Saccharomyces cerevisiae S288C: one gene and its partners. Changing the gene in region 3 together with the main gene of any one other region gives a genetic interaction. Each region holds a gene or a part of one and is shown on either strand. Other genes may lie near its edges.

Evidence for each region.
Region 1: mutations in YML082W (region 3) and HEM2 together harm fitness less than expected from each alone (positive genetic interaction), as found in Saccharomyces cerevisiae (one large-scale study listed by BioGRID).
Region 2: mutations in YML082W (region 3) and CIT2 together harm fitness less than expected from each alone (positive genetic interaction), as found in Saccharomyces cerevisiae (one large-scale study listed by BioGRID).

Annotation. Positions count from the first base shown.
Region 1 is NC_001139.9:418,985-422,670, reverse strand, and holds HEM2 (porphobilinogen synthase HEM2), read left to right. Parts: upstream 1-2,115; coding exon 2,116-3,144; downstream 3,145-3,686. Other genes in the region: DPC13 (Dpc13p), read right to left, coding at 3,382-3,686. UniProt on the Saccharomyces cerevisiae protein: Catalyzes an early step in the biosynthesis of tetrapyrroles. Binds two molecules of 5-aminolevulinate per subunit, each at a distinct site, and catalyzes their condensation to form porphobilinogen.
Region 2 is NC_001135.5:120,617-124,373, reverse strand, and holds CIT2 (citrate (Si)-synthase CIT2), read left to right. Parts: upstream 1-2,045; coding exon 2,046-3,428; downstream 3,429-3,757. Other genes in the region: YCR006C (uncharacterized protein), read left to right, coding at 1,371-1,844. UniProt on the Saccharomyces cerevisiae protein: Peroxisomal citrate synthase involved in the citrate homeostasis. Catalyzes the condensation of acetyl coenzyme A and oxaloacetate to form citrate. Citrate synthase is the rate-limiting enzyme of the tricarboxylic acid (TCA) cycle.
Region 3 is NC_001145.3:99,928-103,684, forward strand, and holds the start of YML082W (putative cystathionine gamma-synthase), read left to right. Parts: upstream 1-1,934; coding exon 1,935-3,757. Other genes in the region: YML083C (uncharacterized protein), read right to left, coding at 1-1,123. UniProt on the Saccharomyces cerevisiae protein: Catalyzes the formation of L-cystathionine from O-succinyl-L-homoserine (OSHS) and L-cysteine, via a gamma-replacement reaction. In the absence of thiol, catalyzes gamma-elimination to form 2-oxobutanoate, succinate and ammonia.

The DNA of each region.
Region 1 (3,686 bases), on a different chromosome or scaffold from region 3:
ACACAGAGTTTTTTTTCTTTCTTTTCTTTCTTCTCTATATATGAGCTGATGAACCTTCTGTTATTTTCTGTATTGATGGAAGATAGGATGCAGCATGGACTAGAGCGTTTTTGGGTCATTTTAGTGCAATAGATCCAATCATTCCTGTTCGATAATCTCAAAGGGACATTCCCCTCTGGAGAGAAATTAGTGACAAAGCTGTGGTCAGTTGGATAAGAGTTCTCTTGTACCCCTTGTGACGAAGTAATAAAATAACAAAAAAAAAAATGCAAACGCAAACGCAAGCACAAGCACAATATAGCTTATAAGGCCATTCCTAGCAATTTTGGAAGAAATGGCTATACCCAAATACAGATTTGGCGACAGTTTAACACTCAGAAGATTGCGACATCGTGCTCTATTTGGGATAAAAAATTAAAAGGCTTTGAATCGTACCTTGACTGGGAGGTACGTAAAGCTGAAACGGAACCTATAGATAACCATTGGAACTTTCTGTTCTTGAGCAAAAATGTTCTGCTTTATATATCTATATGTTCCCGCATGGTTTTATTCAAGGTATTCTTTTAATGAAAAATGCAATTGAATGCAGCGGAGTTAGGGGCTTTTTATAGAAGGGAGGAATTTGGCATTACTAGTTGAGAAAACGCTTTCTCATTTGTGTCATCTTAGGGCTTCAAATACCGCTGACAGAAAATTGGTTGATTACTGCGCATTTCACACGACAAATTAATGAAGAATGGCCAAGATCAGAGTAAACCTTGCCATGCTCTCCATATCATGGAACGGCGGCAATTATTTATACTGATAGTGGCAGAAGTACCGACAACTTCGTTCAGATATTCAAACTCTTAGCTGCAACTTGTTGCTAAAATCATTAGAATGTAACCAGTTTCCCATAAGATTTTCTTTATATATGGACTACGAGACAGTGCTTTCAGACCCAAAGTCTAACCATCCTTGAAAACGTCTTCCAATCATGAAATTAAAATCACGGCTCTATTATTTTCACGTCGAGCTTCATTTTGGGCCACTATTAGATCCTGTGTTTTTATTCCAAGGTGTATTGTCATATTTAATCTTGAAAATAATTTCTAATCTGTGTGATTATTACAGTAGATTCTATTGAAACGACACCATACAGCTCATACGAGTCCGGTGTACTGGCACAGAACACAGATGACAATACAAAAGTAAATAAATCTATCGACAGCAATTCCTATTTTCTTTTACATTTATATTGATTAGCTTACGATTTCTGTATTTATAGAGCGTGTAGTTACATATCCAGATACCTGTCTTCTAGGTGAACAGTTGGTTTTCAGTTCAAAAATTATATAGGATCTTGGACGGTTAGCTTTCCTCCTCATGATCCACTCTTTCGGGAACAAGATAAATTATTGTTTAGTTTTGATTAGCTTTACTTTAATTCGCACAAAAAAAAGCCTGCATTGTCACGAGAACATTGAAACATATACAAAAAACAAATTTGAAATAGAAAACAAAGCAATTTACAGAAATGACTGCCTGGTGCTAATTCTTGCATATATTTTATTTTTAATTAACTAGAAATCAGCGTCAATTATAGTTTCTGGTGAGTCAGCCAATGTCTGTAAATAAAAACAATATGCTTAAGAGGATTAACAGTGGCACAAGAGGCAAAGAAGGGAAGAAGGCGTACACGTCCACATGAATATATAAAAAAGAAGTGTTACATCAATTGGAACCCATCTTTCGGAACGTTTTCTATCTGCTACAAGCCTGTGTCACCGAATTACTTTATTGGGTCTTGTAGAGACGCCGAAATACATCATCATTCCAAGATCGACGATAAAAATCATCCAAAAAATTGTTGCCGAAAAAAAAATTGGAAAAGGTGAAAAAAAAATCAAAATACGGGTAAACGAGCAATCCCTGTTCGGTGCGGTGATTGGCTTGAGGCAAGCTTCCCGCTTGATTTATATAAGAGTAAGGCAACCTAATAAATGCTAGCAACATCTATGCGCCACTCTATTGTCTTTGATTTTCTTGCCCAATCAGCCAAATAAAAAAAAGTTTTACTGCTTACTCATATTATTGCTTACTCCAGTAATTCATACCTAGAAAATTGACAAAACCATGCATACAGCTGAATTTTTGGAAACAGAACCAACAGAAATCTCATCTGTTCTAGCAGGTGGTTATAATCACCCACTGCTGAGACAGTGGCAAAGTGAGCGTCAACTGACTAAGAACATGTTGATTTTTCCGCTATTCATCTCCGATAATCCAGATGACTTTACTGAAATTGACTCTCTACCTAATATCAATAGAATCGGTGTAAATAGGCTAAAAGACTACTTAAAGCCATTAGTGGCCAAGGGTTTGCGTTCTGTGATCTTGTTTGGTGTGCCTCTCATCCCTGGTACCAAGGATCCAGTGGGTACAGCGGCTGACGATCCTGCAGGGCCAGTCATTCAAGGTATTAAATTCATTCGTGAGTATTTCCCTGAACTGTATATTATTTGCGATGTCTGTCTCTGTGAATACACTTCTCATGGCCATTGCGGGGTTCTATACGATGATGGTACTATTAATAGAGAACGTAGTGTCTCTAGATTAGCAGCTGTGGCAGTTAACTACGCTAAAGCTGGTGCGCACTGTGTGGCTCCCAGTGATATGATCGATGGTAGGATCAGAGATATTAAACGAGGCTTAATAAATGCAAACTTGGCTCACAAGACCTTCGTGTTATCCTATGCAGCTAAGTTTAGCGGTAATCTATATGGGCCATTCCGTGATGCTGCTTGTTCAGCTCCTTCGAATGGTGATAGGAAATGTTACCAATTACCTCCTGCCGGTCGTGGCCTGGCACGTAGGGCGTTGGAAAGGGATATGAGTGAAGGTGCCGACGGTATTATTGTTAAGCCTTCCACTTTCTACTTAGATATAATGAGGGATGCAAGTGAAATTTGTAAAGACTTACCAATCTGCGCATATCACGTGTCGGGCGAATACGCAATGTTACATGCTGCAGCTGAAAAAGGTGTTGTTGATTTGAAGACAATTGCCTTTGAATCTCATCAAGGTTTCTTGAGGGCGGGTGCCAGATTAATCATCACTTATTTGGCTCCTGAGTTCCTAGACTGGTTAGATGAAGAAAACTAAAAAAAAACGTGCTTACCTTGTGAATAGTAAAAATAATGATGTCAATATGACAAATGTAACAGTGCTGGCAGTATATCCCTATTTGGCAAGCTTTATAATATGCAAAGATGCGACCTAGTATACGATACAATGGAAATTATGTAATCCTCCTAATGAGTATTTATGTAGTAGTACGTAATATTTATACACGGAAGGCGCTAGTAAGACAGATAGGTAATGTTTTTTTACTTTCACCTCTCATTTTTTCTTCTCAAGGCCTAAAACGGTCATTAGCGGGGCCAGTTGTTCAGGTCCTAACTGTATGCCAGATTTTTCCAATTCCAATTTAAATTCCTTCATAGCGTGTCTCAGATCTCTGTCCATTAAGATCTTAATCATTTGCCATGGTTTCATCGTATTTTCTTCATTGGCAGAAGTCCCATCTAGATTAACCAATTTTTTTTCGATCATGATATTGCTAACCTTTTCTAACTTTTCCAGAACATTAGGCCTCGAATTTATTTGATCCATGAGTTTCTGCACCTTTATGTGTGCATCTATTT
Region 2 (3,757 bases), on a different chromosome or scaffold from region 3:
GAGAAGCTGTCATCGAAGTTAGAGGAAGCTGAAGTGTAAGGATTGATAATGTAATAGGATAATGAAACATATAAAACGGAATGAGGAATAATCGTAATATTGGTATATAGAAATATAGATTCCATTATGGGGATTCCTAGACCCTCGAGGAGAACTTCTAGTATATTCTGTATACCTAATATTATAGCCTTTATCAACAATGGAATCCCAACAATTATCTCAACATTCACCCATTTCTCAGAATGAGATATACTTTGAGTAAAAGTGGTGGAGGATATTACTTATGTCCTTGGTAGCATGGGTCAAGATAGTTGTGTTAACTTGTTAATTATTTTTTACTATGCTTCTCAATTAAAGATGAAGTTTAACGAATGGTCTAGACTTATTCTCACAGTTTACCCGGAGGTCATCATTCTCTTTAATGACAATATTTACTCTGTCGTCACTTTCGTAATTGTTTCGTGTCTGTTTCGCAGTCCATTTGGAATGCGACAGTAAGTTAATTACAAGAAGTAGTAACAACAACTTAGCGATAATGTTTCTCATGTGTGACGCAGGGTTACTTTTGACTTAAAACGACCATTTTGCAGTTTTACTTCACGTTCGCAAACTTTCAATAACTGGCTGTTAATCTGGTCGTTAAGAAAAAGGTCAATGACGATGGCAGGGAAAATAGGGCTGTATCCCAGACTTCAGGCGCTGTTCTGCCGGGATTTTTCAAAGGAGGGCGTGTGGTCTAGAGGTATGATTCTCGCTTAGGGTGCGGGAGGTCCCGGGTTCGAGTCCCGGCTCGCCCCACATTGTTTTTACAATGTGTGGTGTCGCTACTGGCAGAAATGGTACGGCATTTATCTTTCCGACGTAAAACAAGTGTACTCAGGAGCAGTTTTTTTTTGCAATATGCTAAAACTCGTACAATAAACCAAGGCGCATGGCATGTTTGAACATTTACTCGTTATTTCGGAGGTTCCTCAGATGGCTGAATGGAGGTACAGATTATGATTTCTAGAAAACTGCAGCGGACTTTACAGAGTAAGCTGGAGAAGACCAATGTTAATGAAAACTTGAACTGCTGAAGTGTGATATTCAATGTATGAGATAATCCATTAAATCATCTACAGTTTAAAGACTGTAGGCTTACATGACCGTTTATCACTGCGATATTGGAGGAAGCGCTTCGGATCAATGGACCTTTTACTTAGCAGAGCGAAGGCTGAAAATCATGAACCCCAACAGCATGTGTGACCTCTCTTCTCACGCCTGGCAAGAAACCAAACTACGGCATACATTCAGCGCACCAAAAAGGAACTCCGTACTATTTACATTAAAAACAAGAAAATGTGTTGCCATTTCCGTAAAATGAATGGCCCATGTTCATACGCGTATGCAACCGTCTTATTTACACTCCGACTAATGTCCTTCTAATTACTGTGGAAGACGGCCGTATAAGCGTCCTTCTGTGGTTTAGATATGCTATACCGGCGGAACTTTGTTACACACGGCTCGCGCGAATCCTTAGGGGAAAACATTGCGCTGACTTTCCCCAGAGTTGTTGCCACAACATAAGCCGCTTTGGAGTGTTGAACAAATCCGTCCTTGGGTCATTCAATCAATGGCTTGGCGGTATCTCAAAAGAGCGCAAACTAATAGCGCGCACATTCGACGCATTTATCCGGTGGTCATCGACTAGGGGCGAAGAGGTCACGACCTATTTTTTCTTGCAGAAAAAAAGTGTGACCTTTTCCGTAGCTAGACGTCTATCAGGGCGTCAGCAATGGGAGGCACAGCGGAAAAACAATAACAATGGTAAGCGCAATTACCTTTTGAGCGTTACATTCGTATGAAATTGGTGACGTTAATCTAAAGATAGTCATGCTCTCAAAAGGGCCCATTATTCTCGACGTTGAGCGTATATAAGACTATTAAAACTTGGTTCTTTAGATATGGTGTTCGTTCCTCATTATTAAGTTTCAGGGAACAATATCAACACATATCATAACAGGTTCTCAAAACTTTTTGTTTTAATAATACTAGTAACAAGAAAAATGACAGTTCCTTATCTAAATTCAAACAGAAATGTTGCATCATATTTACAATCAAATTCAAGCCAAGAAAAGACTCTAAAAGAGAGATTTAGCGAAATCTACCCCATCCATGCTCAAGATGTAAGGCAATTCGTTAAAGAGCATGGCAAAACTAAAATTAGCGATGTTCTATTAGAACAGGTATATGGTGGTATGAGAGGTATTCCAGGGAGCGTATGGGAAGGTTCCGTTTTGGACCCAGAAGACGGTATTCGTTTCAGAGGTCGTACGATCGCCGACATTCAAAAGGACCTGCCCAAGGCAAAAGGAAGCTCACAACCACTACCAGAAGCTCTCTTTTGGTTATTGCTAACTGGCGAGGTTCCAACTCAAGCGCAAGTTGAAAACTTATCAGCTGATCTAATGTCAAGATCGGAACTACCTAGTCATGTCGTTCAACTTTTGGATAATTTACCAAAGGACTTACACCCAATGGCTCAATTCTCTATTGCTGTAACTGCCTTGGAAAGCGAGTCAAAGTTTGCTAAGGCTTATGCTCAAGGAATTTCCAAGCAAGATTATTGGAGTTATACTTTTGAAGATTCACTAGACTTGCTGGGTAAATTGCCAGTTATTGCAGCTAAAATTTATCGTAATGTATTCAAAGATGGCAAAATGGGTGAAGTGGACCCAAATGCCGATTATGCTAAAAATCTGGTCAACTTGATTGGTTCTAAGGATGAAGATTTCGTGGACTTGATGAGACTTTATTTAACCATTCATTCGGATCACGAAGGTGGTAATGTATCTGCACATACATCCCATCTTGTGGGCTCAGCACTATCATCACCTTATCTGTCCCTTGCATCAGGTTTGAACGGGTTGGCTGGCCCACTTCATGGGCGTGCTAATCAAGAAGTACTAGAATGGTTATTTGCACTTAAAGAAGAGGTAAATGATGACTACTCTAAAGATACGATCGAAAAATATTTATGGGATACTCTAAACTCAGGAAGAGTCATTCCCGGTTATGGTCATGCTGTGCTAAGGAAAACTGATCCTCGTTATATGGCTCAGCGTAAGTTTGCCATGGACCATTTTCCAGATTATGAATTATTCAAGTTAGTTTCATCAATATACGAGGTAGCACCTGGCGTATTGACTGAACATGGTAAAACCAAAAATCCATGGCCAAATGTAGATGCTCACTCTGGTGTCTTATTACAATATTATGGACTAAAAGAATCTTCTTTCTATACCGTTTTATTTGGCGTTTCAAGGGCATTTGGTATTCTTGCTCAATTGATCACTGATAGGGCCATCGGTGCTTCCATTGAAAGGCCAAAGTCCTATTCTACTGAGAAATACAAGGAATTGGTCAAAAACATTGAAAGCAAACTATAGTTGGATTACATCCTACTTTTACACCCCTCTGCATATTTTTCTTTCCTCATGACCATTTAGTATTTAGCACTTATTTAATACAATAATATATTCTTTTAACCATACACTATGATAATGATATTTATAATTAAGAAAATGAACGTTACTATTTCCTTCCTCGTTTTAGTTACATAAAATTTACTAATGGTTGGAAAATTGCGGAAGCTATCACGCGATAACTAGGTACACACGCATTATTTTTATAATCCCATTATTAATAAATCCGTTATGACCCTTTTAGTAATAACTTATTAAGAACCTCCGGGTAAAATACTGTACTGCGGGGAAAG
Region 3 (3,757 bases):
ATGCTTGGTGTGAGCACTTGAAATGTCTCCTCTTTAAGAAAGACAATCCTATCCTTTCATGATCAAGGGCTTCTAAGGCGTCTCTCAATGCCAATTTCAAATCGGTAGGGTCTGACACGGTCTGGTAGCATTTATTAATGCAGTGGGTAAGGAAGAGGGAGGGCTTGATAATGTGGTTGGCTGAAATCGGATGGCAGTGCCCGCCATTGATAGACTCAAATTTTACTGTCTTCGTACAGTGGTTGAAGGTCAGTATGAGTTTTGACTCGCAGATCAAATGTATTTTGTACTTTTCAGGAGTCCTTGTTCTTTGTATACGCTTATTGCTGAGTTGCTCGTGAACATTCATCTCACAAACGAGTTCGTACTTGTTCTTATTGATTTTCTTTGTCCTGTAGATGAAACTAATGAATGAATATACTCTAACGAACTGCTCAAACGACAGGGTACATAGGAACTCGAAGGAGGATTTTGGATGCTTGAAAATAAAGTCCCTGAAGTTTAGAATGTTGTTGATATTTTCGATCTCGTCCTTGTTTACTGGATGGTGATATTCCTGTGCGCATGCAATTAGTTGTTTACCAGACCTAACTTTGCTCAATTGTGCCTTTGTTTTTGCACAACCAATGTAGTTTGGAATCTTCCTAATTAATTCCTCGGTACTATCTCGCTCAACATCACGGCCGCCGCCATTCCCGATCACAATTTTGGGCAGGATAGGATGTGAAACTCTGTCCTCTACTGTGCTGGGCACAGGCGACGGTGGTAGTTTCAAATCTGGCAGCTTTATGGCGACCGGGGCCAAAGGGGGTGAGGGAGCCGTTGCTTCAAACTGAGGTCTTGGGGAGGTCATAGGTGTGATAATAGGCATCATTGCGGCATGATTTCGTACAGCGACAGGGATAGTGACAACCTGTTGTGACCAATGGACGGGCGTATTTGTGCTCATAGAAGGCAATATGGGTGTTGGCAAGCACCTGGGGCTGGAGTACCCAAATGTCAGCGAATGTTGTTGATCTAACGCCAATATGATTGGGGGCAGAACGGGCGATAGGCACTGCCTGCCTGGAGGTGTTCTGGGAACGTGCGCCTGGTTGTTGTTATATACATGTAAATAGTCCATTGAGTCTTTACCAGGTTCTATCTTAACTAAAGAACTACTTCTACACAAGACTTAAGGCACCTTCATACGAAAACCCTCTCCACGATGGCGTTCAATCTTTCGTCTTTATATACATATGTTACTTTATATATTTATATATTTACGTATACACCCGAATGTATTTATATATTTGTATGCATATGCCCACACGTATATGCTCAAGAGTAAATTCTCCGACCCGTTTAAAAGCAAGCACACGTCAAGGTTTGCTGTCTCCACTCGATTCGTACCGTTCCTGCGGTACTCCTAGGCAAGCAGTTAGGCCCTGCCATTCACCCACTCAACAGTTTTAACAGTATACGACTGCAAGGCCATCGTTTACCGGCAGGGTCTATTGTTCTGCGCGTTCCTTATTAGGCACCGCCAAAAAAACCCTTGAAATTTTCGTTTAGGTGCCGGCTCGTTAAGGGCCCTTTTGCTCTCGCATAACGCAGGCACAGGTCACGAACTGCGGTGCGGATACCCTCGATTTAAAGACAGGCAGCAGGTGAAGATAATACCATGCTCAACATGGACGCCAAGGATAGACGTGTAAGTTTAAGTTTCTCTCGTTGTATCGACTGACCTCTTTAATAGCAGTCCTTACCAAGTTGAAAAACCACATCTTCGTGTTACCCGACTACCTGTGCGATGCCGTCTGGAAAATTCGCAATGAAAATTTGATGAAAAAATTGCCTCTCAATAGTGAAAGAAGTATAGCAGGGCCACGCAGAGAGTAAGGGCTATAGGCGAAGTTTTCCTGACATTTTCTTCTTCTATAGGACATTATAATATGGTTTCAGCGCAAGTGGCTACCGAGCTAGGACAGCCTATACCACTGGACACTCAACATGCGGTATCTGTATGTTTCCCGACATGGAAATCTGTAATTTCGTATGTGGAGAAAGACCCCAAAGTTTTAGGGTGTTTAAAGTCTGGCTACCCCAGGTTTTGGATCCACCCCTCGATTCAAAAGCTGCGTGATATTTTAATAGAAAAGTATGCTAAAGAAAACGAAACGTGCTTTTGCTTCCCCTCTTATAGAGTTGCCAAACGGTGCAGAGAGTATGTAAGAAGGAAGTGCGCGCATCGCAATGGCAAAGTAAGGATATTACAGTTAGCCACGGCGAAACCTATCAACGAGGAGCAGAAGACGTGGAAAAGAGAGTGTAAGATTGCGGTAGTGTTTGTAGATGGGGCATACGAGAATATATTAAAACAGTATTGGCAATACACCGGAGAGATCATCTCAAGCAGACTAGCTGAATATGTTTTGCATGAACTTTTCATGGTAGAAAAGAAATCCAGCCCTGCAGAGGAAAAGGAATACATAGAGATGCGGTATGGCAGGAATCTGAATTTTGCATTTGCCGATCGAGCCAAGGAATTGATTAAGAAGAGGATCGCTACAAAGGTTATAGATAAAGATGAGCACGATGAGGAGGAAAACTACCATTTCTTAGCAGGTAACCAAGATGAACAGGACTTCCAGGACACGTTTCTGGATTCATCCCTCAATGAGGCTAACCACGGAGAAGATCATGACGGCGGGATTAGCGGTGAAGTAGACAGTCAAGAAGAACCGCATAATGGCCTTGTTTCCACTATACCCCCGGAGCCCATCGAAATGAGCACGATAGAGGAAGAGCAATCCGTAGAGGAAGATGCCGGGAGGTGTGCATTAAGGGTTTGCCCTGAGAGAGACGTTTTTTTGTTTCCGAGCGGCATGGCGTCGATATTCACTGCGCATAGATTGCTGTTGCAATGGGACTCACTGCGTTTGAATAGATCCAGAAATGGAAGCGACGTCACCTCGTCACCTCCGAATAAGAAGACCGTGATTTTTGGGTTCCCTTATGCGGATACATTACATGTCTTGCAAGAGTTTAATGAAACGTATTTCTTGGGAGAAGGAGATGAGTCTTCAATGAAAGAACTAACAAAAATTTTACATTCCGGGGAGCAAATTCTTGCCGTTTTTATAGAGACCCCATCAAACCCACTATTAAAAATGGGAAATTTACTGGAACTGAAAAGGCTTTCGGAATTATTTGGGTTTTTCATTATCATTGATGAAACTGTGGGTGGAATAGTTAATATTGACGGTCTACCGTTTGCTGATATCGTTTGCAGTTCATTGACGAAGACATTTAGTGGGGACTCTAACGTCATTGGTGGTTCAATGGTTTTAAATCCACAAAGCCGGGTATACGAGTTTGCCTCCCGTTTTATGCAATTAGAAGACGAATATGAAGATTTATTATGGTGCGAAGACGCAATTTACCTGGAAAGAAATTCCAGAGATTTCATTGCTAGAACCATCAGGATCAACTACAGCACCGAATACCTCTTAGATAAAATACTGAAGCCACACGTAGGCGAAAATAAACTATTCAAGAAAATCTACTACCCTAATCTAACCTCAAAAGAAACACTAACCAACTATGACATGGTGAGGTGTAAGAAAGAAGGTGGATACGGCGGGCTCTTTTCACTAACGTTCCATGACGAAGATCATGCTGCGGCCTTTTATGACAATCTAAAGCTGAACAAGGGTCCTTCCTTGGGCACAAATTTCACACTCGCATTCCCCTATACGCTCATGACATACTACCA